4 linked regions of the Rhinolophus ferrumequinum genome follow. The protein of the gene in region 3 purifies or fractionates together with the protein of the main gene of each other region. This does not show direct contact. Links are inferred from orthologs where the notes say so. Each region holds a gene or a part of one and is shown on either strand. Other genes may lie near its edges.

The links.
Region 1: the proteins of ACTL6A (region 3) and SMARCC1 fractionate together in Homo sapiens (co-fractionation; 8 studies listed by BioGRID and IntAct, with this or other methods). This does not show direct contact. The link is inferred for Rhinolophus ferrumequinum from reciprocal best matches to the Homo sapiens genes ACTL6A and SMARCC1.
Region 2: the proteins of ACTL6A (region 3) and SMARCD3 purify together in Homo sapiens (affinity purification with mass spectrometry; 3 studies listed by BioGRID and IntAct, with this or other methods). This does not show direct contact. The link is inferred for Rhinolophus ferrumequinum from reciprocal best matches to the Homo sapiens genes ACTL6A and SMARCD3.
Region 4: the proteins of ACTL6A (region 3) and SMARCD1 purify together in Homo sapiens (affinity purification with mass spectrometry; 8 studies listed by BioGRID and IntAct, with this or other methods). This does not show direct contact. The link is inferred for Rhinolophus ferrumequinum from reciprocal best matches to the Homo sapiens genes ACTL6A and SMARCD1.

Annotation. Positions count from the first base shown.
Region 1 is NC_046300.1:8,039,023-8,046,450, reverse strand, and holds the start of SMARCC1 (SWI/SNF complex subunit SMARCC1), read right to left. Parts: upstream 3,001-7,428; 5' UTR 2,897-3,000; coding exon 2,702-2,896; intron 1-2,701. UniProt on the Homo sapiens protein: Involved in transcriptional activation and repression of select genes by chromatin remodeling (alteration of DNA-nucleosome topology).
Region 2 is NC_046309.1:3,660,552-3,667,648, reverse strand, and holds the start of SMARCD3 (SWI/SNF-related matrix-associated actin-dependent regulator of chromatin subfamily D member 3), read right to left. Parts: upstream 3,008-7,097; 5' UTR 2,628-3,007; coding exon 2,550-2,627; intron 1-2,549. UniProt on the Homo sapiens protein: Involved in transcriptional activation and repression of select genes by chromatin remodeling (alteration of DNA-nucleosome topology).
Region 3 is NC_046285.1:64,535,518-64,543,336, forward strand, and holds the start of ACTL6A (actin-like protein 6A), read right to left. Parts: upstream 3,014-7,819; 5' UTR 2,830-3,013; coding exon 2,805-2,829; intron 1-2,804.
Region 4 is NC_046293.1:50,883,119-50,890,676, reverse strand, and holds the start of SMARCD1 (SWI/SNF-related matrix-associated actin-dependent regulator of chromatin subfamily D member 1), read right to left. Parts: upstream 3,020-7,558; 5' UTR 2,572-3,019; coding exon 2,395-2,571; intron 1,715-2,394; coding exon 1,527-1,714; intron 1,240-1,526; coding exon 1,197-1,239; intron 1,103-1,196; coding exon 980-1,102; intron 498-979; coding exon 375-497; intron 1-374. Other genes in the region: ASIC1 (acid-sensing ion channel 1), read right to left, coding at 5,509-5,613, 5,747-5,851, 5,927-6,006, 6,487-6,578, 6,992-7,145. UniProt on the Homo sapiens protein: Involved in transcriptional activation and repression of select genes by chromatin remodeling (alteration of DNA-nucleosome topology).

The sequences.
Region 1 (7,428 bases), on a different chromosome or scaffold from region 3:
CCTCCCTGTGCTTCGGATTCCTCTTATCTAAAGTGGTCCCCTCCTCTGGACTTCTTTGGCAGACCAGAAATTCATTCCAACCAAAAAGTACTCACCTCCCTTCCGTGTTGCTAAGCCAAACGTATTTACAAAACCTAAATGAAGAGGTTCCTAAACTAGTTCACCTTTTCATTCATTAAACAAATATTTACTGAACATCTACTAAGGGCACTTAGAAAATGAAAATACAACGAAGTTCTCTTCTAATTTGCAATCACCTGGGTAGGTGTCTATGTCTATCTTTTCCACATTGTGAGTTCCTCAAAGAGAAATGATGTGTAGCAAAAAAGAAAACGGGTTTGGAGCCAGGCAGGATTCACTGAATCCCAAATCTGCCACCTCTACCAGCAATCTTAGAGAAGTTACTTAAATCGGGAGCCTCAGGTTCCTTTCATGTGTAATATAAAGTAAATAATGTCTATCATTCAGGACTGTTGTGAGGATTTCAGTGAGTTACGTTTTAAGTGCCTGGATATGGTAGATGCTCAGTTCACTTGACTGCACGGACAGACCCATCAATAAAAGGGGACTACCGATGTCATGCTTATTTCATCTATTTGCTGAGATTGATCAATCTGAAACTTCAGTATTAAATGCAATAGAAAAGTTTAGTTAAAACCCATCAACGTGTACAAGTAGAGATACAGTGTGTACAAAAGCAGCAAAGAACAGTCTTGTTAATACTTTCACCACTCCAACAACACTCTCAGAAACTGATAGGATTCCGGCTGTCAGATTGAATTCTGAATCTGAGTAGACCCAAGAAATACAGTCTGGCTTTATGAAACCCTGAGAAATCAAACCTAACTTTGACTTTGTCTTAAGGCCTCAGGGACACTGAACCAACATTAACCTGCTGGTTATCTAAGCCTCAAGCTGCTCTCTTAAGATTGGGATCCAACAGATGGACACGGACTTTGGAGAAGCAGAAATTATTTCCCTTTTTCTTCTCCCTTCCTTGATATTTGATTTAGTAAAACAGTCCTATGGGAGTCACAAAGGGATAATCCAAAAAAATATTACTCCTGAGTACCTTTCTTTGTTAAAGCTCCTTTGATAAAGTAATACAATATTATATGTCAATTGTAACTCAGTAAAACTGGAGGAAAAAAATCCAGACTGTGGGAAAAAATAACTACGTTAAGGGACACTGAAATTAAGATCCAAAGCATTAGCTAAAGGAAACAGGATAAAATATAATACTCTCATTTTATATGTATAGGTACAGATATCGACTACATATATGTTCAATTACCTTAGCCACTTCCAGAAGCTCTATTGCCTACACAAAAAAGTGACCAATTTAACTGTACAAGAGAGAACAATACTCTTACTTACATACTTACATACAGAAGAGAAAAATCAATCTACAATCCCAAATGTGACTCCAAAACTTCAGGGGGAAATAATAATCAAAACATCTAAAAATATACTGTGAATAATAATATATATTCTCTCTCATTTCCTAAAACTTCAGATAAGAAATCGTCATTTCTGGAAGTACCACAGTGTAATGTCAACCGAACCCAAGATCCCTTGTTCGTGCATAAGGACTTCTCAAAGCCAACAGGCTTCACTCTGCTGTAGACCCCAAATGAACAGCTTCCTAGAGTACTATCTTTTCATTCATTCAACTAGTATTTACTAAGCAACTACTAAGGGCGAGGCAATGAGTACCAACCATGTTCAAGGACACATTGTATATTGGACAGGCCTGATAAGCTCCTTGCCCCAGTGCTATGGTCTTCAATAGGGAAATACAGAACTGAAAAGGGTGTTACGGAAACTTGGGGGCAGAAGGAGTATTTCTAGCTGTGTGCTTCATTTCACCGTGTAAAGGAGTCAGTCCTAAGTATTTACATAAAGGGGAAGTTAAAAAACATTTGTTATAATCAAGGGGTTAAGTCACAACTTTCAATACCATCGACTCGGTGGAACTTAAATCCCAAAGGAAGGAGAAACAGAATGAAATGAAAAAAATAAAAAGTGGTACGAAGAAAATAAAGATGACATGAAGTGGGGTGATCTAATACACATGGGGCTCTCAGGGAAGGCCTCACTGAGAAACCCTCAAGTACAAGTGAACGTTAACTCTTTTACTCCTACTATACATAACTAAAACTACTATATCGTAAAACCAGTCAATTTTTAACGCGAGTTCCCATCAATACTGTAATTCCTTACATTAACCTATTACCTTCCGAGTACAATCGTCCATGTTCCTTCTCTAGCAAATCAACAACAGGTAGTAAGACCTTAGTTACCTCACTTGACTTGGAAGACTAGTCTCTAAACAAAACGAAGCTGCTTTTACACACTGGTTCAAGCTGTTTTTAACAATCATTGTTCACACACCTAATAGGGCAGCTAACAAAAGAGATTCACACCCTCCGGGCTGCTGAGCTCGACTGTTCGTGTTCGGGGAACAGGGGCTTCGCCCGGGATGCTTGAGCGCCAAAGAGCAGGGCCCTGAGGGTTCGGGGGAGACCCCCGCGCCCGCGGGCCCCGAGAGCTGACCGCGGGGGCGTGGCGAGCCCGGCGCCTGCCTTTGTTGTCCCTCGTGGCGCGCGGGGGGGAGGGGCAGCCCGAGGTCCGCGAGGCCAGTAGCCGCCCCCGGCCTCCGTCGCGTGGCCTCCCGGCTCCCACGGGCGCGCGAACCCACCTTCTTGTAGTGCTTGCCCAGCCAGACCCGCACCGAATCCAGCTGGGACACCGTCTCCGGGCTTTCCCAAAACTTGCTGGCCGGGCCCCCGTCCTTCCGCCGATAAACCGCCAGGCCCGCAGCCGCCGCCGCGCCTCCCGCACCAGCGGCTCCTGCCGCTGCCCCCGGCCCGCCGCCGCCCGCTGCCGCGGCCATCGTCGCCGTCCGTCGTGCCCACAGCCCGGCCCGCCCCGGCCCTCGCGGCGTTCCCCGTTCGCACCCGCGCGCGCGCGTAGCCGCCACCGCCGCCTCCCGGCCCCGCCCAGCCAACCCCCTTCCGGTGCGGATGGCTCGCCCCGCCCTTTTTCGGACCGGCGCCCTAACTGACGTCTGCACGCGCATACGCATGCGCAGCATTCGCGCCAGGGGCCTTCGGGTTCGGACCTCCTCCGACTTCTTCCGCCAGTCTATGCTGGCTGCTCTCGTCTGCTCCCCAGTCTCGGCCCCTGCGCGACTAGATCTTTCGTGATTCCTTTGTCGGATCCTTATTCGGTCAGCAACTGCGTGAAGGTTCTGTGTCATCGTTTGCCACCGCCGGAGAGGAAAGGGCTGGTGTGAGAAGTTTCGAAGGGAAAGCCCATTCAGGGTATCGCATGCTGGCGGAGGAACCCACTCGCAGGAATACGTACCTGCACCAGCTGTGGCTCTCAGACCCTCTACACACTTAAGTTGCCGCGTCAGCCTTTGCACACAACCAGCCCAGGGGACGACCACCAGGGGCTCTTTGGGTGCCTGCCACACCAGTTTATTCCTGCCTCTTGCACCAGCTGTTCCCACGACCAGCAGCTCTTCCTGCGACCTGCGACATTTCCCCTCTCATTGTCACTTAGGCGCTTTCAAATTCATAGCGTAAAGATACTTCAGAAAAGCGATCCCTGACCATACACTTGAACAACTCATCATACTCAATTGACATTCTCTGCGTAGCAGTCACCGCCACTTGGTATTTTTCTTAATAATCGTCTACATAAATTATAGGAAAATCTAGTCTTGACTTGGGAACAGAGCCTGTTATCTAATAAATATTGTTCAATGAATATTTGATGAATGCATTAATGATCTACAGAGAGAGGTGGAAAGGTTTTACATTATTAACAAAGTATGATTGGCCATTATGGATTTATGAACGTAACACTATATGACCCTACAAACCCTACAACAGAAGGTGACTGAGAAAGCCTGGTGAGTTTTTGAGACCAACTTTTTTTTGGGGGGGGGGAATATTGGAGAACAGTTTCTCCAGGTCCCATCAGCTCGAAGTCGTCGTCCTTCAATCTAGTTGTGGAGGGCAATCTAGTTGTGGAGGACACATCTCAGCTCTTAAGTCCAGTTGCCATTTTCAATCTTTAGTTGCAGAAGGCACAGCCCACTGTCCCATGTGGGAATTGAACCCGCCACCTCATCATTGAGAGCCTGCGCTCTAACCAGCTGAGCCAACTGAGCCATCTGGCGGCCCCTCCAGAAACTCAGCAGCAGCTGTTGTCTTCAATCTAGTTGTTGACGGCACAGCTCACTGGTCCATGTGGGAATCGAACCGGGCACCATTATTCAGAGGTCGTGCTCTAACCAACTGAGCCATCTGGCTGCCCGAGACCAACTTTTAAGAATGAATAGAATGTGATGGGAACATTTCAGATGCATGGAAACAACTAGAACAAAGCCATTAAAGTGTGAAAGCATGCTTGGTGGAACTCTCCTTAAACATGGGATGGAAACAGAGATTTCGCTTGTTGCAGTGAATTTTGACTTTATCCTGTAAAAATTGGGAAACCAACTTGAACAGAGAATGACATGATCAGATTTACAGATTAGGAAGATAACAATTGCAACAGTGAATGATAGATCAGAGGAAAAAACACTGGAGAAAAGATGACCTGATAAATAGTCTAGGAATGAGAAGCAATGAGATTAACATATGAGTAAGACATGGATCATGCCCTCTAAGGGCTCAGACTTTAGAAATGATCATAGCTGGGGTTTACGGTGCATTTCTGTGTGGTGCTTTGTGCTAAGTACACCTGCATTCCCACAGATTAGGATATTGAGGCAGAGAGAGGTTAAGTACCTGGCTAACAAGTACATATTAGAGTCAGGTTTTTGAACCCAGGAATTACACCCTGGAGTACTACTTCCCTCTCTTTTCAAGCACAATGTGTTTTCTAGTAATAGCATGTGAGTACAGCAGAGAAAACGCATTGGAGTAGTTCTGAAAGCTCTTTCATTTGCTGGAGTCATAGGGAAGTTGGTTCTTCCAGGGCAGTGGTTCTTCCAACTTCATGCTCAAATAACTTCTAAAATAATTTGGAAAACCATACACCTTTTATATTAGAAAAATATCTAAAAATTTTCATCAAAAATTAAATCATTGAAGAGCACATTATAAAAATGGACATTTTAAATAAAATGGTTACATCATTTTTTAAAAGTTTTTATTTTTAAATCTCAAACTTACAAAAAGTTGCAAGTATAGTACAAAGAACTTTTTCTGTTCTTGAACTATGACAGTATATTGCTAATATCATGCCCATCACTCAAGTTTCCTACAGACAAGTATATTCTTTTACAAAATAATCACAGTAACATTAAAACTGTCCTCAGACCCCATTCAAGTTTTTCTTGTTGCTCCTAGAACCTCCTTTGCAGCAAAGATTCCAGATCAGAATCATGCATTGCATTAGGTCAAGTTTCAAGTCTCTTTCCATCTGGACTGGTCCCTAGGCTTTAACTTTCACAGCATTGACAACTTTGAAGATTACAAGCCAGTTATTTTGTAGAATGTTCCTCAGTTTGAGTTTGGCTGATATTCTTCATACTGTGTTCTTTTCATTTCATACAATCAAGTGGCTCATGATTTTTTTTTTTAATTTTTTAATTAAAGTTTATTGGGGTGACAATTGTTAGTAAAGTTACATAGATTTCAGGTGTACAATTCTGAATTACATCATCTATAAATCCCATTGTGTGTTCACCAATCAGAGTCAGTTCTCCTTCCATCCCCATATATTTGTATGATTTCATTTCTTCCATTACTCTGATGACTTGGTTAAGAGAGTAATTGCCAGGCTTCTCTACTGTGAAGTTATCATTTATGCCTCTGTAATTAATTGGTATTTTCTGGGGAGGTATTTTGAAAGTATGTAAATATCCCATTCCTCCTTTAAATTTCCATTTATTTTTATCAGACAAACCCAAATGGCTCCAAATTTGACTAAATGCAAACTTAACTAAATGTAACTTCCTTCTCTAACAATGAAAAATCTGGCTGCTATTATCCTTACTATATTTACTTATTATTAACAGTTCACCTATTGTAACGGATCTACATGCTGGGCTACCCTCCCAGGTAGGGACTGGCTCCTACACGGGAATGCTAACCCATCCTAATATGCTTACATCTACCTTGCTCTACTCTACCTAGTGGCTTTAAGACTGAGTTATTTGAGAAGAGATAGTCGGGGAATAGCAAAAGCAAGAAGACGTCCCTCTAAAACCTACTGAAGTCTAAATATGTAATAATTTGTTGGCCATGATAAAATACACCTTATCTCTTAGCCACAATAAAATACATTCTATCTCTTAGCATAGGAGTGCAATACCATCAAAATTACTGTCCAAGTACAAACTGTACAAAGTAAACTTAATAATCAATGGGGAAAATTACAATTATTCCATGGCCTTTAAATTTTTTTAATCAAAACATTAAAAACCCAATCGGTTATCATTATATAAGGAAATGGACACAGTAAAATTAAATTTATTTAGTACATTATAATTTAAAGCATTAGAAAATTGAGAATTAATGTGGGTATATTTTGGTGAAAAAATTAACAATAGTTTGAATGTCTCATTATATAACTTACGAGCAAGGCTTTTTTGGTTTGGGCTTGTCAAATTCTCATACCCCTTTCTAAATTTGGATCAGCTTCCAACATTTTGTACTTTGCACTTGTAATGTGAATCTTTTTACAGGTATCATCTCCTCTGAGATGTCTTCATCACTTTTTTTCACAGTTTCCTCATTTATGTGGATGTTTGGCTTCACTAAGTTCCTCTGGCTGTGTATCTTGAGTCTCTCAAAGAATAATCAGTGTCAACATTCCTATGGTCAGCTGTTTCTTCTCTAATACTATTTCCATTTGATTTGAATTTCACTTCATAGCAATAGAATAAAACACAGAAATCACGACCATCTCAATAGCTGCAGGGAAAAAAACACAAAAAAAAGTTTGACAAAATCCAATACTTTTCATGATAAAAACACAACAAATTTGAAATAGAAAGGAACTTCCTCAACCTGACATTGAGAACTCCTGGGCATCAATGAAAACTCCATCACTAATATCATGCTTAATGGTGAAAGACTGAATGCTTTTCCCCTAACATTAGGAACAAAGGTATCTGCTCTTACCACTTCTATCCAGCAGTGTACTGGAGGTTCTAGGCAGGGCAAGTAGGAAAAAATAAATAAAAAAATAAAAGGCATTCAAAGTGGAATGTAAGACGTAAAATGACCTCTATTTGCAGATGACATGACCTTTATATGTAAAATCCTAAGCAAGCCACTAAAAAATCCCATTAAAACTAATAAATGAGTTCAACAAGGTTGGAAGATAAAAGATCAGTATACAAATACAGGCACACTTCAGAGATATTGCAGGTTCAGTTCTAGAACGCTGCAATAAAGTGAG
Region 2 (7,097 bases), on a different chromosome or scaffold from region 3:
TTGCCAGCGTCGGATTTGCGGAAGGTACCGCGAAAATGAATATTAATGGCTCCTTTCAACCTTTTCAAAGGATGTGCACATTCACACGCTCCTCTGCAAGACAGATTAAGCAGGTCCTTCCATCCCACTTGACAGATGAGGCAACCGTGGCTCAAGGAGAAAAGCGACCTAGCCAAGGTCACGCAGCTCCTGGCAAAGGCAGCCCTGAGCGGCTGGTTCCTGAGAAGCCAGGGCTTTCTGCTGTCTGCTACTTCCCCTAGGTTGGGGCTGAGCTCCCAGCTGGGACTCCTGCGCTCCTCTTCCCATTCCCTGCTTCCCAATCCACTTCCTGGGCCGCCCTGCCTTGCATTCTCCCTCCCCATCGCACCCCACGCTTCTCTCTGGGCGCCTACTTTTGAACTCTCAGCCCCCACCCCTACTGGCTTTGGCTGATTCCAAGCCCCCAGAACCAGGGGCTTCTCTGACTCGGCTCACTCCCATAATTTGCTCCCAAGGTAGAGGCTAGAGGTGGGGCTGGAGACAACCTGAGGGGCTGAGGTCAAACCCCACCAAGACTCTCTGATTGGGAGGAGGGGCGGGGGGGGGGCGGGGGGAGGAGCCACCTGGAGGTGAACTGCCCAGAGGGCTTGGGTAGGTCAAAAGCAGCTGCATTTCCTCTTAGATCCATCTCTCCCTTCCTGCTGTCCACCTGGTTCACCAGAGATGGTCCCATCCACAGACCTCCTCTACTTCCCACCTCACCCCAATGAGGTCACCAGTCAGGGTTCAAAGGGGGTCATGGAGAGGAGATGAGGCAGGTGTATTCCCTTGACACTACCCAGGTGCTCAGAGGGGATGCAGATGAGATGCAAATTCATCAAGTGAGGTGTTCCACAGACTTTTTAAACCCCACTTGTCCAAATTCTAGAAGAAGGGATAGGAGAGGACCTGAGTGGCTCTAAAGTGGAGGGTGGGTAAGATGGGGTCTGGGGCAGGGACAGCAGGAAGGAGATTAGGGAGCAAGGGATGCAGACCCTGTGTCCCCATTATCATTTAAACACTACCCCTTTACCCCTAGGATTGCAGCTGCCCCCAGACATGAGGAGCCCTGACCCTGAGCCCGGTGAATGCCTTCTATCTGCCAACTCTCCCTCCCGCCTTACAGTTTGTCTAACCCTAACCCCCAGCCAGCCAGCTGTCTCTGTCCATCTCTCCCACAGTGAAACTTGCCTGTCCATGTGTCTTCCACCCCCCGCCCACCTGACCCTGTCACTCACACCTCTAGGATGGTGGCCCAGAATGGAGCTCAGGTCCCATCATTCCCCACTGGCATAGATGGGGCCCTGGGAGTGGGCAGTGAGGCCCACAGCCACCCAAGAATTGAAGCTCTAAGTTGGCCAAATAAAAAATTCATATGTACAGCATCTCTCCTTCCTAGATGGGCCTTTTTAAAGGGAATCCCACCCAAGCAGCAAAGTTAGGACTGGTCACTCGGCTGACCAACACAGACACCCCTGGGAAATTACTCCAAAGATCCTCCGGGCTGGAGGACAGGCCACCCCAAATAAGCCCATTTTCCTTATCAGCTGCTGTATGATATATCAAGGCCAGCGATACTGGTGGATCTGCTGAAGAGGCCCCAGGGAGCTGTGGCAGCTACCAGGGCCACCCCCAATGAAGGGCCAGGATGCAAGGGATTCTGGCCTCCCTCACCGAGAATGTGCCTTCCTTGGGGTCACAACCAAATTTGGCCAGAGGAAACCTGACTGCTTCCACTATGCCAACCCCAGCACCCATCCCAAGTCCTAGCGTCCCTGCTTCTCCCACTCCCCTCCAACCTGGCCCAGCTGCCTCCCAGACCCTCAGCAAGTCCTGGACAGTGCTGTCCTTCCCCTTCGGTCTCTAGGCCTCGCGTCCCTGACTCCAGCCCTTCCTTCACACCTTTGAGGTATTAAGGACAGCGGTTTTGGTGGCTGAGTCCGCCAAGGGGATCCTCAGACCTCTTACTTTGGGGTCTGTCCCTACAGAGAGCCTCTCTCTGACCCTGATGTCAGAGGCCATCAGCAAAGCCCCCGAGCCTTCCTGACTGGATGTAGAGGTTGTTCAGCCAGAGAGCTTCCTGCTCTCAGCCCTCCAGGGGTCACCTGCTCCTTGCTCCTGAGACACAGAGAGAGACACTCTCCCAACGATGAACAGACAGCCCAGCCCATGCCATGTCCCCCACCCCCACCCCCATGGCAGGGTCAACACCTGGGCCCACAAGGGAAAGAACCGAGGAAAATACGACTGGTACAGATGGGACCCCCCCACTTGGGGGGGACAGTCCCCAAGTCCCACCCACAGCCCCTGACAAGAACCCATGCGAACGCCTCCCTTCCCTGCCAGGGCACCCATCTCCTGCCGGCCGCCTGACGACGTGTTCGGGGGCCAGGGCGCCGGCACAGTCCTGGGGCTGGGCCGCGGGACGTGGTGCCCTGGCTAGCGAGCCCCCTCCCGGCCCCTCCCAATCATCCCTCCATTCAGCCCGAGCCAGCTCGCTCACCCTCCCCCGCTAACTTTCCCCCACTCACCACCCCATGGACCAGAAACTCAAAAAGTTTGCTTTTCGTGGCTTTGCGCGCCCCTCCGGCAACTTCGTCCGCGGCCATCGGGGTGGGCTCAGCGGCTCCTCTCACTCTCTCTCTCTCTTCCTCTTTCTTTCCCTTTTCTGCCTTTTTTTTTCCTCCAACTCTCCCCTCTGAGTCCTGCTGGGCTCTCTCACACTTCTACTCGAGCGGAGTGGGGAGGGGGCCCCGTCAGGGCTGCCCCGACGGCCCACGGCCCACGCCGCCGCCGCCGCCGCGGCTGCCGCATTCCTGCACTGATAAGACAGAAATAGTCCGGCGGCCCGGGGTCTGCCTGTTGACTCGGCGGGGACAAAAAAGCCTGCCTTTCCAACCCTCGCTGTCCAAACAGCGCAGATAAGCCGCAAGGCACGCCGGCAAGCCGGCTCCTGGGCGCTGGGCAGCGGCACTGCAGCCGAGGCCGCCCGAGGGCCGCGGGAGGCGGTGCGGGGAGGGGACGCGAGGGGAGGTGGCAGGGGGCTCGCCGGCCACCCGGCTCTTGCCACAAATAGTTTCTCGGTTAGGGAATCCGCCGGCAGGGCCAGGCAGGGAACAGTCAGTTCCAACTTTGCCCCAAGTGGCTCCTGCTGCATTTCTGAGGCCCTTTCCCCAGAGACCTGGCAGGCCAAGTAGGGAAACATTCGCTGGAAGGAATGGGGGGAGCCGGAGCTGGGACGAGGCCTTCCTCCCACCGGCGGCAGTGGTGGGTGTGCCGGGGAGGCGGTGTCCCCCTGCGTTCACAGATGTGTGCGCCCTTGTCTCGCCGGCCGAGTGTGTCTCCATCCTTGTGTGGGCACGGCGGTGGCTGTGGGTGTGGATGTTTACGTGCGTGCACAGACAAACGCCTTCTCTGTGTGCCTCCCTCCACGGGAGCCTCGGGTGCGCGCGTGTGGGTGCGTGTCTTCCAGCTCCGTGTGAGTCTATTTCTGGGTCTGTGAGTCTTTGTCTCTATGTGAGAAAGTGAGGGCAATAGGGGATGTACTTTGGAAAGAGGGAGGTGGATCAGGCTCATGAGAACAGGAAGAGAAAAATGTGGGGGAAGGCAAGGAGCTGGGGTGGGTGCTTCGGTGGATGGGTGGACAGAATGAGGCAAGCAGGGCCTGATGGCCTTGGAATAGGGTGTGGGGTGGGAGACCTAGAGGAGCTGGGGCTCCTGGGGATAGTGGGGCCAGCCTCAAGACCCCAAAGAGCACTGGGGTAGGGGAGGAGGTGTGAGGGAGCCTCAGAAACGCGATGTGGAGGTAGCTGGCAGCCCAGGGTGAAGGAAAGACAGGAAACAGGAGGAGCAAGTCCTGAGATCCCCAAGCTTGGAGCCCTGGACCTGCCCATGCCCCTAAAGACCACACCCCTCTGTCCTCCTTTGGGGACAACCGTGGGTCAAGCTTATAGGCCTCCTGGGGCTGCACTGTCAGAATCCAGGTGGTGGTGGTGGGGCAATGCCAGGGGTAATTTGTAGGAAAACTTATTTGAGGTTAGGCCTGAAAGACCCAGCATTGCCCTGGGGGTCCTTGCCCTCAACCCTTCAAAATGCCTTCAGAGGTCAGGACAAAGAATTGAGGCAGTGTTCTGCCTGGGGAGGCCATTCTGCCTGCAGCCCGGTTTCCCTTGAGCCCTGGTGTGCTCCCTGGCCATGTAAGGGCCCTCAGTGAATCTTCTGAAAGGCCAGAGGGGGCATGTGGTCCAGGGTGCCCCTCCTCTACCTCCCTCCTGCTCCCTTAGCAGGGGACCTAGAGATCCCCTTTCTACCAAATTTCTACCTGGGCCTTAGCCCAGACCCACACACACAAAGGCTGGGCACTGGAGTGGCACTGAGGATGGTTGGGTGGTTGGCATAAGCCATGACGGTGGCTGTGATTGCTGGCAACCTGGGGAGGTAATCTCTCCAGTCTGTCCACTAATCTCCAAAACAAAACTCCTCACTTATTCCCATTTCTAAGCCTCTGCTCCAGATATTCTTTTGCCTGGAATGCCCTCTACTGCCCATCTACCTGCCCAGATCATATTCATCCTTTAAAACCCAGCTCAGGCCTCCTCCAGAAAGCCTTCCCTGGTCCCACTTGTGTGCACAGATCTTTCTCTTATCTGAATGCCGACTGCCACCTATCCTGAGCCATAAATTGGCACTGGGCTGACTCATGTCTGATATGCTTTGTGCTTCAGGTGTGGTAGGTCTGGTTTCCCAAATCGGCTGTGGCCCCCTGAGTGGCCTTTACATCCCACTCCCCCCTCATGCCTGGACACAGGGAGTCCACATGACCAAAGGTCTGCTAATACTTGCAACCGCCCACAGCTCAGTGGGCCAGTGGATGGAGCTCATAGTCTGCCACTTACCTGAAGGTGGGAGTCACCACGGCACCCCCACCCCCTGTGGGTGCTTCTCATATGGCCCTGTGAAACTACAGGCCTTGGAGGTTCTAGAGGGCTGGGGCAGGGGTACACTCCCCTAGCTTTGTGTGAAGCACAGAGTTCTCAACTCTTGGATAGGCCTTTTGGAAAAAGAAGACAGCAGAGGAGACAGATGGGCACCCCAGCTTGGGTAGCTGGTAAGTTTGAGGGTGGAACCCTCCCAGCGTTTGTGAGGGAGGTGGTGCTGGTGGTAGAGTTTGCAGGAGGGGTGTAGACCAAGGGCTATGGTGAAACCAGGAGCTGGTGAGAATCACTCAAGTCCATAGATAACCCCCTCCTGAGACCCCCCCAGGACCAGGGCCTCCCCTGCAGCCACCCCCCTGGGAGACATCCTTATGCAGCACCTAATGCATACATGCCCCGCCCCCTCCCCCCAATGCAAACACCAGGGGACAGGAGCCACCCGGCTCGGCACTCACGGGCACACTTTAACCAACTCCACATCCCACTCATAAGGCCAGACTCACAAGGCACCCGCCCGCAGTCCCGTTTGCATGCCGACTTTACAGGGGCGACCTCAGGGGTGTGGTCACGGGGGAGCCTTCGGGCTAGAAAGCAGAGGCGGGAGTGTGGGTGCCCGGCCAGGACTCCCACCTCACAAAGGCCAGGATCCCCAACGGCTCAGCTCCCATACGGCGGGCGCTCAGCAGTGCCCCGCCACCGGCTCCTGCCGGGTGGGAAGGAGGCCCCGGGTATGCCCCATTCCAGCGGGCAGGGGGCCTTAGTCCCAGTCCCCTTAGCCTCGGCCGACCCGGCCCAGGGCGCGCTCTGGCCAGGCCATGTGCGTGTCTGGGTGGAGGGCGGCCGCCAGGCGCCCGGAGCCGGAGTCCCCCCTGCCGTCCCCCCATCTCTCCTTCCCTCGCCGAAGCACCACCGGCACCAAATGGCAAAGCGCCGCTCCCCGCGCAGGGAGAGATGCGCCGCGGCCGGCGGGACAGGCTCGGCAGCCCCCCCACCGCGCCGAGCGCCGGGGGCACGTCCCGGCCCGCGACCGCCCTCCCTCGCCCGGCCGCCCGGGCCCCGGCAGCGGTGGGAGCCGGGCAGTAACCGGGCCGGGCATGCGCACTGCGGCCTCCCTCCCGGTGAAGGTCAGCCCAGGGCCTAGCTGCAGGACTCGGAGTGGCAGGGGGAGGCGGAGGAGGGAGGGATGCAGCGAGGAGACTTAACTCCTTCCCTGCGGGAAGATGGTCACCGAGGCTGGGGCCGGAACCCGGAGTCCCACCCTCCCCACCTTCTGTGGAAGTCCTATTGCGGGGACCCTGCTCGGGGGAGGAGCAGGAGGGGAGTAAGAGGAGAGAATGGAAGAAGGAAGCTAGGAGGAGAGAGGGAAGCTGGGAAGGGGAGAGGGAGGAAGGCAGGGGAGGAACAAAGGAAAGCCAGCTGAAGGGAGAGACCTCTGCACTGCCCGGTTTTTCCTCTATTCCCAGCAAGAAAGCTTTCCTTGGCGAAACGGAATTACCTTCGTGGATTGGCGTGTGTGTTTGTGTGTTGAGAGAGAGAGAGAGAGAGAGAAAGAGAGAGAGAGGGAAGCTCTCAGGCTAAGGACCCCTGATTTCAGTGATCTGGCCCATCCCTAAAGCCAGCCCCCATTTTCCCCTCTGATCACTAAACCCCAGGGCAAGCCAGGGGGCCCAGAGGCGGCTCTGCCCCAGCCTAAGTCCTGGGACACCAGGGAACCCTGGCTAGCCAATGGGGCCAGGCCCAGCGCCCAGAGATGACTGGAGGGGAGTCTGTCCCTTAACCCCCACCTCTAGTGAGGGGCTTCCTCCAGCCAGCAGAAAGGACATTGGCAGAACAGACCAGAGGCTTGGTGGCACGGACTTCCTCCACCCCACCCCTCACTACTTCCCAGGCCAGAGCAGCACCGGGTCTCTTCCTCTTTGTGGGAGAATGTTTCTGGGTCCAGGACCCTCTGCTACTATGGAGGGGGCTGTCTATTCCTCTGTGAGACTTCGCCTTTCTGTGTCAGTTTTGCAAACACACAAGAGAAACACGTATGATAGAAAGAAGTAAAAAACAAAGGAAAAATAGGACACCAAAATAGTTGTGTGACCTTGGGCAAGTCGCTGTTCCTCCCTGTCCCTTAGCTTCCTCAGGAGTAAAAGAAGG
Region 3 (7,819 bases):
TTAGAATTCTACATCTGCTGATATCCCCATTTTTCAAGCATGAGAGATACATCTGTTTCCTGTACCTTGTTTTGTTAAAAACCAAGCACCAACGTATGGGAGAATGGCAAATAAAGATAGGAGGCTTAATATTATCACCTCAAGAGTCTGGATATTTAAAAACTAGGATGTAATCTAATAGATAAAAACCCTCAAGGGTTTATTCCCTTTTATACTAAAAATGCTGCGTCTCCATGTTTTTGACAGTTTTGATGTTTTCCCCCCAGAGTAAATGGCTTTCAAGTGTAAGGGTGATGTGATTTTTCTGGGAAAGCACAAAGCAATGGTGGCAATCTGCTAACCTGATCTTAAAGCATTCCAGTACAATACTGGAGGCTGCAGTAATGATTTTGGGAAGAGGTAGGGAGATAGTTTTATTTTTATTTTTTGTATAGTGTCTCCCAATTCATGAGGAAGATGATTTGAAGAAATTTTAAGGTTAGAGATTTAGGGGTGCAGAAATGATGAAACTAACAATTTATCAAAGTTGGGTGGGTAGCGTACCTGTTTATCGTGCAAAGGAGTCTGAAGTAGAGGAGAAGCATTAAAGATGATTGGAAGAGCAATGAGTAGGCCCAGAAACCAGTTAGAAAGTACAGAAATCTGGATGAATTATGCATTATACCTCGAGCTAAAGATCAGTGTCTGATCTGGTCAGAAATAATTATAGGAAAAAGACAGCCGTAAATTTCAAAATTTTAAAACTAAAATTTAAACTCATTTAATAAGTACACAAGTTAACAATACGCTTTACAAAGTTAATTACAAAATTTAGGTGGGAGGTTTGGTTGCTTTCCACAGTAAACCCTTTGGAAAATGTGACCGACTATAAATAATTGTCATACATACAGTGATAGCACAAACACAAAATCATATATTTACTTTTGTGAGTTTAAACTATTTCATATGTGAAATAAGCTTTAAGACTTATTCCTTTACATAAGCAATTGAGAAAGAGGATATTAATTCTGAATACCTGAATCATACATGAATATGCTGTGGTTATATACTTGAAAAATGACTTATGGAAAAATAACCAAAAATCTTTTTTAAATGGTAAAGATTTTTACTGAAATGCCTTTTCTTCATTCTAAAGATTCTTGTTCTTTGGGCTTATTAATCTTTTCTGTACCTCATTTTCTCATTCAATAAAATGGGAATAGTAGTACCATCTCCTATAGTTGTTGTGGATTAACTGAGTTAATCCAAGTATGCAATGCAATGCATTAAAAGCCTCTGTAACAGTTCCTGGTACACAGTATGCATTCAACAAATATTAGCTGCTGGCGTTACTAGTATCCATTTCTACCTTCGTCATATTAAATAATGCCTTGCAAGGAAATACTCAGTGCAAAGCCTCTGGGTCCTTGGATCTGTGAACCTGAAAGTCAAAATAGAGTCAACAGCCTCCAGGAGGCAAAGGACACAGATCCGGTTTTCCTGTCAGGACTCCATCTTCAGATGGGGAAGAGGTAAATCAATAAGACCTACTAGGCTTTCTCCAAAGTAAAATGGGAATATGTACTCTCATGTTTGAGAAATCAAAACGAAGAACATAAACGGGTATAAAGGGAATGAGGGTCAGTCTACCGTCTCAGAAGAGACTCAAGCTACATTCCAAAAACTAGGAATTTTGAAGACTTTATTTCTTACCAATAGAATGCCATCCTTTTCAGAAACAGCATCCTTACTAGACACAATAACAGGATTTGTCTCCTGTTCTCTAACGCATCAAACACGAACACAAAATATAAATCATCTACATCTGTGTTTCATCTAGGTAATCTGTAAAAACGGAGGCTCCGATTCAGTAGTCTTACAGTGGGGCTTGAGATTCTGCAATTCCAAAAGATTGCTGGGGATGCTGAACTCTTGATTCATGGACCTCACTTTGAGGAGCAAGTGTACTATTATCTCATTTAACCTTCACAAGCACACACTGGGTGGGAATTATCATTCCACAAATGAGGAGCCTGAAGTTGAGAAAACTTAAAGTCACCTGCCCAAGGCCAAAGCGCTAAACGAATGGTGAGGCTGGTATTACAACCCAGGTCTGTGTGACTCCCAGGCCCCTGGTAATCTTTCTACTACACCGCAGCCTACCCAAGGAAAGCATTCTTAAATTACCTGTATTCCCAAATTCATCCCGGACACGCGCACGAGGAACTTGGACAATCCAGTCAACAAAACGCAGGAGTGTTTGAAAGGCGTGAGGCAGCAGGAGCGCTGAGCGCGGACCGAGAGCAGGCTGCGTCCTGAGTGGCCGCCACTCTTCCAATCACTTCTACCTATCGCGCTCGCTTTGCCATCTACCGGGCGTTGCGGAAACCCCCCCGCAAACTGCAGAGACTTCCCAAGTTTAAACACACGCGCGCACACCCCGACATGCAGAGTTACGGAGACACTGGGAGACATGCGACCCTGGGACAGGTCACTCAAGCCGAGGCTCAGTGGGCCGGCCCCCAGGACGCAGCTGCCGTCCCATCCCCGCGGCCGGCGCGCATCCCCCAAACCCGCTCCTCCGAGGACCGAGGCTGGAAGGGACCGCAGGATGCGGTGACTCCAGGAGACCGAGGCGTTCAGTGAGCCGGGTGGGCGCCGAGGGCGGCGAGAAAGCCGGGCGGGGATGGGGAGGGAAGGCCGGACTCCCGAGAACTGAGGACCGGAAGAGACCACCGTGGAGGGGTGAAGCGGAGAGGGCTGGGGACGGCGGTTGTAAACCCCGCACGCTAAAACGGCTTGCTCTTTAGTCTGGCTGTACTCACCTCCCCCGTACACGCCGCCGCTCATGGCTGCTGTAGGCGCGACTCCTACGATGAAAACTACCCAGAGACGTGCCTGCAAAGGCCGTGACTGCAGGTGTTGAGAAGCGCTAGCCTCCTGACCCCCTTAACTTCTACTATCGTAGACCCCCTCAGGCAACAAAGCGGCATCAACACACCGCGTAGCGCAGTCACACTTGCTGTCTGCTTTTATCAGCCAATCGCGAGAGGCCCGCAACCCTTCAGCCAATCAGAACTCGGGTCTGGGGCATGTCTGCCGCGGCTCAGCCAGTTTAGCCAATAGAAGGCAGCCAAGAGGTAGGAGAGGGGAAAGCAACGGAAGAAGGGAAGGAGGTGGGAAGCTGAGTTGAAGGAGGCGGAGCTACCCGAGTAGGCGGGAGATTGGGGCGGTGGGAGCTGTACACCTAAGAGGAAAGTGTCGGGGGCGGGTCCAGGAGTGTCGCTGGGAGCGGAGGAGCGGTGGGATACCGCTATAGCGAACAGGATAAACCTCTGGAAATTGCCTGGAAATTGAAAGTGTCTCCACGCGTTGATTCCCGGTTTGGGAGCGTGGTGAATGCAGAATTTTTTTTTTTTTTTGTGGTTCAGAAAAAGTATTTTCAACTGAGTTTTATGTTGAAAAATAAAAATGTTATGCTTCATTTGGGGTAGGAAATCAGTAAATCAGACAATGATGAGATCCTGTAACTTTTTAAAATGGTATTAATAATTAAAACGTAAAAGAGATGATTGATATACTATCCTAACCAAATTTAGGTAGCACTTTCAAAATTATTTTTGAAGTGTCATCAATCTCTTTTATCCTGTAAAACAGTTACAAAACATTGTAATGAATCCTTATTCAAGTGAGAACCTAATCCTAAATACATCTCCAATATGTCTACTATTCTTAGTCCTCTGTTTCTGCCAGCCAGGTCAAGATCTCCATTGTTTCTTCCAGGGATTACTGCAACAACGTGTCACTTTGGTGCTTGGCCTCATTCTAGGCCGCTTGAACTATAAAAACACCCAATTCGGTTCACGTCACTCCAGCTCAACCCCTCAAATCAGTTGTATATCCTTGCAGTTGCTAGCAGTTAAGTTGGTTTGTCTAGAGTTTAGACATGTAGGAGCTGCTTTTAACCTTAAACACAATTGAATAAAGCCCCATCGGTCTCGGTGACAGCAGCGTGGCAGAAAGTGATTGACAGTAGGGCGGAGAAGAAAGCTAGTGAGAAAGCTCTTTCCCATTTACTTGACAGTGTAGTCTCCATATATACCTGGTCATTCAGGAAACCCCTACTAACCCAATGAGATGATACAGAAGTCAGCAAACTATAGGCTCACGGCCAAATACAATCTGCTTTCTGTTTTTGTATGGCCTGTCAGCTAAGAATAACTATTACATTATCAATTGTTTTTAAAAATATTTTTAAGAATAATATTTTGTGATGTGAAAATTATATGAAATTCACATTTCAGTGACCGTAAACTAAGTTTCATTGGAACATAGCCACGCTTATTCAATTATGGTTGCTTTTGCTCAGTATGGGCAGAGTTGAGTAGTTAGGACAAAGATTGTGTCACCCACTAAGCTGGAGAACATATTTACTATCACACCCCTTTATAGAGTTCACTGATCCCTGAGATAGCGCATGTAACACATCTAGCACAGTTCCCCTAACTGCTCTATGTTAATTGTTGCTTCCATGATTGAAGCTTCCACTGTAGATGTATACCAAATACCAAAAATGTTTCTATTTCCGCCATACATTTTTTATGTTTTGTTTGACTAATAAAGCTGATGAATTATAATATGTGCTACTGTGGTAATAATTGAACATTGAAGAGACGATATATTTGGTTACACTACACAGCAATCCATTTAAATCAATTTGTCATTTAAATGTATACTTCTTATACAAGTTAAATAGATTTTATATATGTATATACATAGAGTTCATATATGTATATAAATAGATGTTTTTTATATATATACACACACGTATATATGTATCTTTCAGCAATACTATCGCTAACATCTCCTGTGCTGTAGAAATAAAATACTCTGGGCTGAAGAGAGCAAAATATTTGTTCCACTAGTTCAGAGTTCAGCAGAAAACAAAACAGCTCAGCGGGGTTAATGAGGACTGCACCCCTAGCCTTCAGGGAACCTTAAGATGCTGTGATTGACTCCCCCCACAGAGCATATACTGGAGAGCATGGGGAATCTTCAATCTGATAGCACAGAGACAGCTTGAGGAAATACTGGAAAGTCATGCTAAGATGTTTTTACTTAAAGTACGGGTTATGCTTCACTAGTAATTTTGAAAAATAGAAAACAGATCATATGTTCATAACTTCAGGTCAACTTGTCCTCTTGATGTATCATTGGGCACACTTAAGCCCTTCATAAATTTTAATCAGCGAAAAGATGTAACAAGGTACTAATATTATTGGCCCTAAAGTATTGAATTGCTGGGTTAATGAACTATTGAGAAGGGGAAACCTATTCAGCATTCTAAGAAAACATGTCTGTGTACTATGCGCATCCACAGTAACAATGACATTGTTTCCTTAGAGGAAAGACATACAATGGCAGTTCGGTTTTTTTTCATTCTTCATAATTAGAATAACTGGTAGACCAAACATTAAAAGCAGAATCTACTTTATGAAATGTAAAATGTCTCAGGATTTTGTTGTGTTTTTTTTTTGTATTAATATTTCTCCACTGTAGCCTAACATTTTCTCTAAACTCTTGGCTCAGCCTACATTAATGTAACTGAGAGCTAGTCAGATTAAAAAAACAAAAACAAAAGAATTCAAGGTTATTGTTTGTATGTCAATTTTCAAGGGCGTAATTTATCAAAATAATCAAAGCTTGCAATTTCCCCCGCCTGAGCCAGAATATTCCATGTCAACCTGAAAATAAAAGATATTGAAGTAACATGTATGTAAACTTATGTAGCTCACAGTATATGAGTTCTGTGGTTGACTGAATCCAGATATAAAAATAAGTGCCCTTTCAGAAATCCTTTGTGATCTGCAAGCATCAAGAATTTCTTGTGTACCTGAGTGTAATACTTGGTTTTGCCTCACAGGGTCGCTGCTCTTCCATTCCTATAACGCGGCACCAGAATTCCTATGAGGCTACAGTCTCACTCTTTTCATCAGCTCTGTCAAAATTCAGATTGTGGAATCACATTACAGCAGTCATTACAAAATGCTACTGATCTTGTCCTCTGTCTCAGCCTTTATCAAGTTCAGAGTTGAAAAAAACTTATTAATGCAAGCTAGGAAACAAATTCAGACTATCATTTGTTAAGAAGAATGACACAAAAACATATTTATGTTTAGAATTATTTTATTTCATGCTGCAAAATATATGCCATTAGCAATTATGAAAAGCAAATTTCAATGGAAAAATGTTTGTGTGTATATCTGTATGAAGAGTTGTAAGTACCATAATCTGCTATCGAAGTTCCAAAACTGCGTATAACACTCATGTACGCACTACTGAGATAAAGGATGCATACGTATCTGGAGTCTGGAGTTTTTCACCAATAGATACATGATCAGTCAGATTCATACATCTGTTTGTCATTAGAATAGTATGAGATCTGCTAGCCATTTCAAATAATATGAGCTCGATAAAGAAGCAAATGAAATTATATTTGGTCATAGCAGGTACCTTATAACATACCAATAGATTGGTTATAGTACAAATAATGTGAAAAGAAAAAAGAGATCAAGTGCTAGATGCTCTATGGATTTTACAAGTCTTTATTGTTATTTCATTAACACTTTAAAAATCTCTTTGTTCATTTGACATAGCTCTTGTGAGAAATCACAAAACGAGTGAGAAACATTAACATTTAATCAATTGGTGATGTAAAGTGGCACTGTGCCACCTTGGGTCACTTTATGGTAAGCCCTGGGCTTCCCACTGATCTCGGTCAGTGCCAAAGCCTTGTTATGGGGCTGTTACACAGCCCAGAGAGCAACACTGAGCTGAGTCCCAGTTTCTTGCTCTGTACTGCTTTTTTAGAACCCTTGCAACTGTTTTGGAATTACAAAGATTTCATTCACCATATAATAATGACTACCAATTGCTGACCTCCTAATGTGTGCTATGGTAGAAAATGTGCTTTATATCTAATATTTTCAATGTAATCCCCATGAGGGTTTTACAGAAGAGGCCCAGAGATTCAGCAAATTGCCCAACATCACACAGCTATTGAAAGAGTCCAGACCTGAAACTAGGGCTGTCTCTGACCTTACCAAGCATGCTATTCCTACTCCTAAAATACCTTTTCCTTTCCACTTCCTCTACAGTTCTAATAAACTTTAAAAACAACTATTTTAATTTTTATTATATATACTTTTTAAAATCAAAAGGTACAAAAAGATCAACAGTAGAAAGTCTCCTACTGAGATCCACAGCCACCCTATTCTCCTTATCAGACATAGTGCTATGCTTCTACAAGTCATTATGTAGACATATACCCTCCCCCCAGTTTTCCTCATACAAAGTGATAATTCACAGTATGCCAGTGAGTTTGGAAAAGCACTCTCCTTGGAAACTAATTTTAAGATGTTTATTTTTGAACATTCTTATTTAAAAGTTTTTAGTAGCTAGTCTACACACATGGCTAGAAACTGAAACATCACAAAAGAATGAAAAGCAACTCTCCTTTCCTCTAATCCTTGAAATACCACATGTTGAACCACGGTTACCGGTTTCTTTTGTAACTTTTCAGAGACAGTCTTTTCAAGTAAAACCATATATTAGCATCCCTTCCCTCAACTATTGTTGTTTGTTTATTTATATAAGTCTAGCATACTGAATACATTGTTTACTGAATACATTGTTTTGCACCTGACTTTTTTCACTTAACCATCATATCTTGGAGATCATTCCATGTATTAGGTATAATTCTATCTCTTCATTTTTAACATTAGCACAGAATTCCATTATTTGTGTATGTATACACTACAATTTATTTCACCAGTTTTCT
Region 4 (7,558 bases), on a different chromosome or scaffold from region 3:
AACGCTAAGTGCAAACTCACTTGATTTAAAACACACACATTCATATTCATTTTAATTCATTCATTCTCTCTCTTTCTCTCAGAATAATCTGCACATACTGCTAAATTTAACGGCCAGTAGCATCAGGAGGAAGGTAAACAACAAATCAAATCCCAGGACAATATGGTTCTCAATGTGATACCACAATGAGGGCCAAGTTGTGGGAACCAACACAAAGAACCATTGTCTTTTAGCACAGGGCATACAGTGACCCTTTCCTTGCAGTTCCCAACAGGAGCTGTGAGCACCAGTCAGGCTTCCTGCCAACCACACAACACTGTTTGTCCCCAGCAGCTCCCACCCTAGACGCCGACCACAGTGGACCTTGAACTCACATCCTCCAGGAGCCGTCCTTCTACCCGAAGCTCCCAGGAAGCCACCGTCCCTTCCCCATCCTCGGCATCTGACTTAGCCGGATTGAAAGTGTTAGAAATGAAAATTCGCAGCTTCCGTTTTTGCTGAGGAAGGCAGAAACAGGATTGATGGTGGGGCTTCAACGGTTTGATGTTGAAGACAGGGTCTCCCCAAGCCCCAAAATTACTCCTAACAGACTGGCTCACTGTCTACCCAGTCCCTGGGGTGGGTGGATGAAGATTCCATCTAGAAGAGGAATACAGGCCATTGGTCTGAGTGCAAGAGCATACACTGAGATGCCAGGTGGACAAAGTCAAGCAAGGTGCCAGGTTCCCAAGGTGGTAGAGCAGTTATAGCAAAAACACGGACAGGGTAAATTTCTGGTGCAAGCGATATCAAAAGCCCCTCCCCCTTTGCTATTTTGTTCTTATACTTCTAATATAATTCTCAGTTCGTAGGCGGAAGGGAAAGATGTAATTTAAATGCCAAGGAGAACTGTGCTGTGCCTTTGATTGCTCATCCTAAGCCTACTGAACGTTCCCAAGTCCTCTCCTTTGGCTCTCTGCCTAGTGCGCTCCGGCGTTACCTTGATGGGTCGTTTCAAGGCCTCCTGGATATCGAGCCGTTTCCTCATAATAGTCTGGTCCAGTTTCCTTTCAAAAGCCAAGAGATCCATATAGGCCTGGGATTCTGGTACCAGTTCACGAATCTTAGGAACAGAAAGATATCATGGGGATATAGAGCTGGCCATCTCTATTCTCAAACTCACCACACCCTCAGGAAGACCTACAGCTTGGACTCACCCTTTGAGGTAGAATTTTGTCAGCCATCTTCTTTTTCTTTGCACTGTTTCAAAACAAATACTGTTATCAGGTTGGGATGGAACTAGCCAGAACATGAAGACAGGCTGTCAGCACCTCCATTTATAGTAAAGTGAAAGGACTGTAAAGCTTCTCTCAAATCAAAGACATACCCCCAAACCCCCAACCAACATGAGGCATTCTCAAGAATAAGCACCATCGGCTGACACAGCACCACTACTTCTTGGTTCAGATACTCCCACCACCTGAGTTCTCACAGGCTCCCTCCCTCCCTTCCTTCTCTCCTTCCCCTCCTCCCTGGGGTCATCTTACTTGTGGTTTCGATTTTGGACCGCCTGCTGCTGGACCTGCTGGATCTGCTGAGGCGCAGGTCTCTTGCGGGACTGGTCCATCCCTGACTGGGCCAGGCCAGGTCGGACTGAAGGGTTCCCCCCGTAGCCAGGGGGTCCCATGGAAGGTCCCTGAGGTGTCATTCGGCTGCCTGGCAGCATACCTGGTCTCTACAGAGGGGAGAGGACCCAGAGATGTCATGGCTTCCCCTACGAAACCCACCAAGAAAGAAAAAGTGGGGGGATTCTTCAGGTCTTTGAATGAAACAAGGCTGGGGGAGGGGGAGAGGGGCAGTGGAGCACAATGGGAGAAGAGCCCTCTGCCTCTTTGAATTACAGATAACTGGAGCTTCCTCTGCTCCAGTCATGATTCTGTAAGAGAATACAGCCCAAAAGCTAAGAGCCAGATTATACTCAAATTCTCCCTAATCTATTTTGTATCTGACACATTGCACATCTCCTCTATCTCCTCTAGTTCCACATTTACTCAGTACTACCTGGTACTATTTCCTTGAAAGCTGACCTCAATTTGCCAGCTACCTTGTGTGTGTTCCTCTGGGCACTGGAGCTGCCCAAGCCCTTTTGCATTCCAGCCCTCATCAGCCCACCCTCCGCCCCACTTCGTCCTCCATAGTTCTATACCCTGACTCCCCACGGAAACAATGCCCCTAGGAGCAGGTGGGGATGCTAACTGCCTCCCTTCCTTCCTCCTCACTGACTCCCCCACCCCCATTCAGGGCCCGAATCCCTCTCCGGGGAGTCCCTCCTACTCCTCCCCCCACCGCTGTCACTCCCAGGGCCCCGCTCGGCCCCGCCCCCGGCCCGCGCGCCCCTCCTCCCGCCCCACTCACCGGATAGGCCGCTCCGGGCATCGGGGAGCGGTACAGCCCTTGACCCGGCGCCGGGCCCATTCGCACGGGAGGCCCCGGAGTCCCGCCCGGGCCCAAGGCAGCCGCCGCTCCCGCCCCTCCTGAGGCTCCGGCGCCGCCGCTCGGAGCCACAGACTGGAAACCCGCCCGGGCCGCCATCTTCCCCGGAGCCGCTGCTGCAGCTGCACAAAGAACCGGAACCGGAACTCCCCCCGCCCACCTCGGGCCCCCCACGAGCCCGCTAGTCCTCCCGGCCGGCCGGCCGGCACGGGAGACTCAGGGCAGCGAGACTGTGGGCTAGAGGGGGGCGACTAGCGGAAAAGGGTGCTGACCACTCCCTCCCGCCTTCACGGTCCGGGAAGGCAAAACCATAGAGACGAGCTCTGGGATAGAGAGGCCCTGTGAGCGGGCGCCCCCAGGCCGACGGGAGGAACACAGGCCCTGGAAAGGGGTGCCACCGCCACAGACCCAACGTCCTGATGAAGAGGGTGGTGGAATAACTGCTTCATCTTGCGTAGTGCGATCAATTTTCCAAAGCGCTTTGTTTTTCGTTTCCTTCTCTTACTGCTATAAGCCAGGAAGACTGAAGAAAACGTACTGTTTAATCCATTTTACAAATGGGAAAGCTGAACTGAGTAAGTATATGACTTGGCAAAGGTCAACCAACAAGTGAACAGTAAAGTCAAAGCCTAGAATCCAGATCTTCAGGCTCGTAGCCTGGGGCTCATTCCACAGATAAAGTGCCTCAGTAACTAACCTCACGCTAGAACTTCAACCCAACTTTGTCCCTGACTTTTAACCGAACCTGCTTCCAGATTTTAAGTTTATTTTGAATTTTGCCCCTGCCCTCACTCCAAAGAACCCTTTGAGCTAGGACTTCTCTTTGGGATATTTGTTGCCTTTGACCCCTCCCTCTTTCACTGTCCAGTGGTTCAAACCATTCGTGGTGTGATGTCCAGCCTGTCCCATCCCAGGACGACCAGGGTCTCCCTGCTCAAGCCTTACTCCTCCTGTGAATGTTTGGCTCCAAGCCAAGCTCAGCTCTAGGCTCTTAATGGGAACGCCTAAATACTATTCAAATAAGAGAAGAAGGACACTGAAAAGGAGATGGTTGAAATCCAGTTTATTAGACCAGAGGCATGCGTCACCCATAGCCCTGCCTGCTGTTTTCCATCCGGTGCACACCCCTTGGCCTTGCTCTTGCTTTCCTCTGGAGAGGTCTGCTCTCTAAAGAACTCCTAGGAACTAAGAGTTCCCAAAGATCCTAGAGCCTCACTCTCCAGCTCCAGGCCTGCACAGGTGACCTGCCACAGGTCCAGTTCTGGGGTGAGAGACCAAGAAACAGCTGGGCAGAGAAAGCCTGGGAAGGAACAGGGCTCTGGCCTGGGAGAACTGCCTGGTGGAGGGGGCGTGGCAGGCCCTCTATCTCACTCCTTTCTGTTTAAGTTAGGGAGGGACAGAACAGCAGAGCTTTCAACTTCCCCTCTAGGACTGTGTCTTTCCTCCCACTACCAAACCATACCTCACCAAAAAATGTAAGTGATGGGCTTGGGTATCCAGTTAGGAAAGGGGCTGGGCACCCAGGAGGGAAAGGCCACTGACTGAGGACCTCAGCGTCTGCCTGTCAGCGCTTGCTGTTCTACCTGAAGGGGTCACTGGTCCACAGCTCCCTGTGTTTCTGGTACCCCTGGCTTAGTGTGCAGAGCAGGTCTCCATTCCTTGGGTGGGGGCTCTCTCGGTAGCAATCCCTTCCCCCGAGAGGCCACAGTCAGCCACACAAAGGACTTTGGGGTGGATAGAGCAAGAAAGGGGATGTTAAGGCTGCAGGGGGGGCAGAGGGTACCCAGGTTGTGGGGAGAGGGTGAGGCCAGAAAGAGGCAGAGCTTGTGATTCACAGCTTCCTTTATGTCGCCACCGAGACAGTGCGAAGGTTACAATGCGCGTGTCGTCTCCTTGTGCTTCTCAGAGGGATGTGTGTACACAGTACAGACACCAGGGGAGAGAGTCCAACTCTTTATACAGGCGAAGGCATTCATAAACCAGGGAGGGAGCAGAAACACAGGAAGGGTGGAGTGGGAGGATGGTTCTTAGAGACAAGAGGGCATGGAGTAGAGACGGACAGTTAGGGGAAAGTATATACAGAGATATAGCAATATAGAGTCTGTATCATATAGAAATAGAAAATGCAGATGAGGTTGTGGAGAGAAGCAAATGAAGTTGGGGAAGAGGACTTGAGACAGTTCCATAAGAAAATTTATGGATGTGGCCCTCTGCAGGGGCCCCGGGGAGAGGGACCAGTGAGATTAGGCACCAGCGCCCCTCTCCCTGAGCTGGAAGCCAACCAGCTGGATCTTTTAGGGGATGGTAGAGGAGAGATGCCTCTTGGGATTTCTCTCCAGCAGCTCTGGGGTGGTAGATATCAGGATGTGGCCTACAGCACCAGGGCCACACACTGTCCCCATCTCCACTGCTTCAGGGGATCCCCACCCCCACCACCCTAGTGACTTCACATGGTGTGTGTGTGGGGGGGTAGGTACTAGGGTCTTAGTTCCTGCCTGGAGACTTGGGGTTGGGGGGGTAGTCACTGGGCTGAGAGGGTCTCTTAAGGCTGGGGAAGCCCCCCCCACCACCACTATCCCTCCCCTTCATGGTACATTCTCTGGTTTGGGGTCAAATTCCAGACCCAGAGGATCCCCTCCACCCCCCACTGGGAGGGGGCTTTGGTGACTGGTGGCAGCAGAATGTAGGTGGACACTCAGATGACAGACAGCCAGACAGACAGAATTCAGGCTGGGAGCTGAGGGAGGCAGCATAGAGCAGAGAGGGGCAGCCTGAGGTCACTTGCCCAGTTCTCTTTTCAGTTTCTTTTTCAGATTAGTTTTGTTAAAAATAAAAAGAAAGGGATAGAGACAGGGAGAGGACTCTATGGTCAAGCCTCCTTCCTCACCACACACAGGAGGAAAGGACTGCCCAGGAGCGGGGGGGCTGCCTTGGGAAGGAGAGTGGGTCCCCAGGGCAGATGTGGGGGGCAGTTGAGGGCCCCCTTGCTCTCCTTGCCCTCCCCATCTAGGCCTTTGGTACAGTGGCCTGCAGGGCTCAGCAGGTAAAGTCCTCAAAAGTGCCTCGGCCCGGATGGTGAGGTAGGATGTTGGCAGCATACGTCATCCCCGCAGGATGGCCCCGGAGGCTCTCACACGGGTTCTGGGGGAATGGCACAGGACAGGAACTGGTTATGGAAAGGGCCGCAGGTGGCGCTGGGGCACGGGGGAGGGGTGGTCCTGGGGTGGTGGGGTAAGGGGCGGGTCCGGAGGGCACCCCTCACTGGCTCCCTCACGTGTCTTTTGACGTCATCCAGGCTGAGGGCCACGCCCTTGTCCGCGCTGCTCCTTTTGGCCTCCTTCTGGCACTTCCCTCGTCTGCACAGCTTGTGCTTAATGACCTGGGACACGGTGGGGTGGTGGGTGGGTGTGTGGGCAGCCTGGATCCCCGCCCCTTTGGTCCCGCCCCTGCTCACCTCGTAAGCGTAATCAAAGAGCTCCAGCACTGTGAGAATGCTGGCCCCGATGAACAGGCCCATCTGGCCCCCAATGTCACCTGTGTGGAGGGGGCACAGGGAGGTCAGTGGGGTCAAGACACCATGGGAGCTCACTGAAACGGGCAGGCAAGTCATAATTGCAAAATGATCGACAGCTTTTTTATAGAAGGAGTGCAAAGATTCTGAGAGGGGGTTTTATTTTCTTTATGCTTTTCTGCATCTTTTTCTACTTTTCTAAAATGAATAGGTACTATTCAGGAAAAAAATAATTGTTTATAAAATACCCAACACTCTTAATCTCTGGGCAAAATTTAAAGGGCATATGAAATAGTCCCCTGTTCATGCCCACAGGCCTATCTTTTCCACTTTGCCCTAAAAGAAGGCTCAGCCCCTTCCCCCCACCACATAGCAAGACAGCAGAATTTGGGGAAAAGCCCCTGGGGATGGCTGGGGACAGACGTGATCAGCCTGCTTTGGGTGGTAGGGTGTCACACCATGCCCATGACATGGGAAGGGAACAGGTGCCATCAGCAGCTCACCCAGGAGCCCTGCAATCTCATAGGCCTTCTTCTGCTCGATGGTCTCATAGTTGAGGACTTCAAAGAAAATGTCCAGCACCAGGATGTTCTCCCTGCAAAGGGGTTGGGGAAGGAGACCTAGGTTCAAGTCACATCTCTGTCCCTTGCTAGCTAGGTGACCTTGGTAAATTATCCTCTCTGAATCTCTGTCTTCAGATCCATCACATGAGATGCTGATGGGGGTACCTGCCTTCTAGGGTTGTTGTGAAGATTAAATGTGATGGCGGATATGAAAAGATGCTGTGCACACGGGTAAGTGTGAGGTGATCCCAGTTACAGCAAGGAGGATGAAGACAGAGCATGAGGTGAGGAGGAAGAAGAGGCGCATTCCCTGCTTGTTCTGCCTGGGTCTTTCCTCCACGCCCACTTCAGACCCAACTTCCTCCTGTCTGCCAGACCTCATCAAAGCCCACTCACCCTTCGCGGGCCCAGCCCAAGGGCCCTGCCTTGCAGGCAGAGCACTTACCCTATGTACTGCTCAGACTTGTTGAACTTCTTGGCCAGGTACTTGGCTGAGGCTTTGCTGGGGATCTTGACCATGGACAGCTCCTTGCCATAGCGGGTCAGATTGCAGGGCATTTCACACACACAGTACTCCTGGTCCTTCTCCACCAGGAAGTCTGCGCCCAGCCAGGTGACAGGCGCTAGTTGAGTGGTGCCCTTCTGCCAGGCCCCTCTCAGCACCACAGCCTGGCCTTGCCCACAGTAACCCTGCGCTCCCCGCTTTTTTTCTGACCTGTCCTTCACCCCAGCCCGTGCCCAACCTGTGTGGGTCCTCACCCAGCCTCCCCATGGATATTATGTAACCTATATCATTCCCTCAGAGCCCTTGAAGACCAACCAGCTGAGGTGCTGATGCGAGAGGGTGAGGGCCCCTCCCAGGTGACACCTGTGTATTTTCCACCAGGGCATCTAGAGATGCTATTCCCAGCTAAAGTCAGACACGGGAAGTCAGTTGAAACCTGATCCAGGAGTTATGTGAAGCTTCTGGGAGCTTGGTCTGAAACCCCTGTGCATCTGGTTGGCAGCCCCT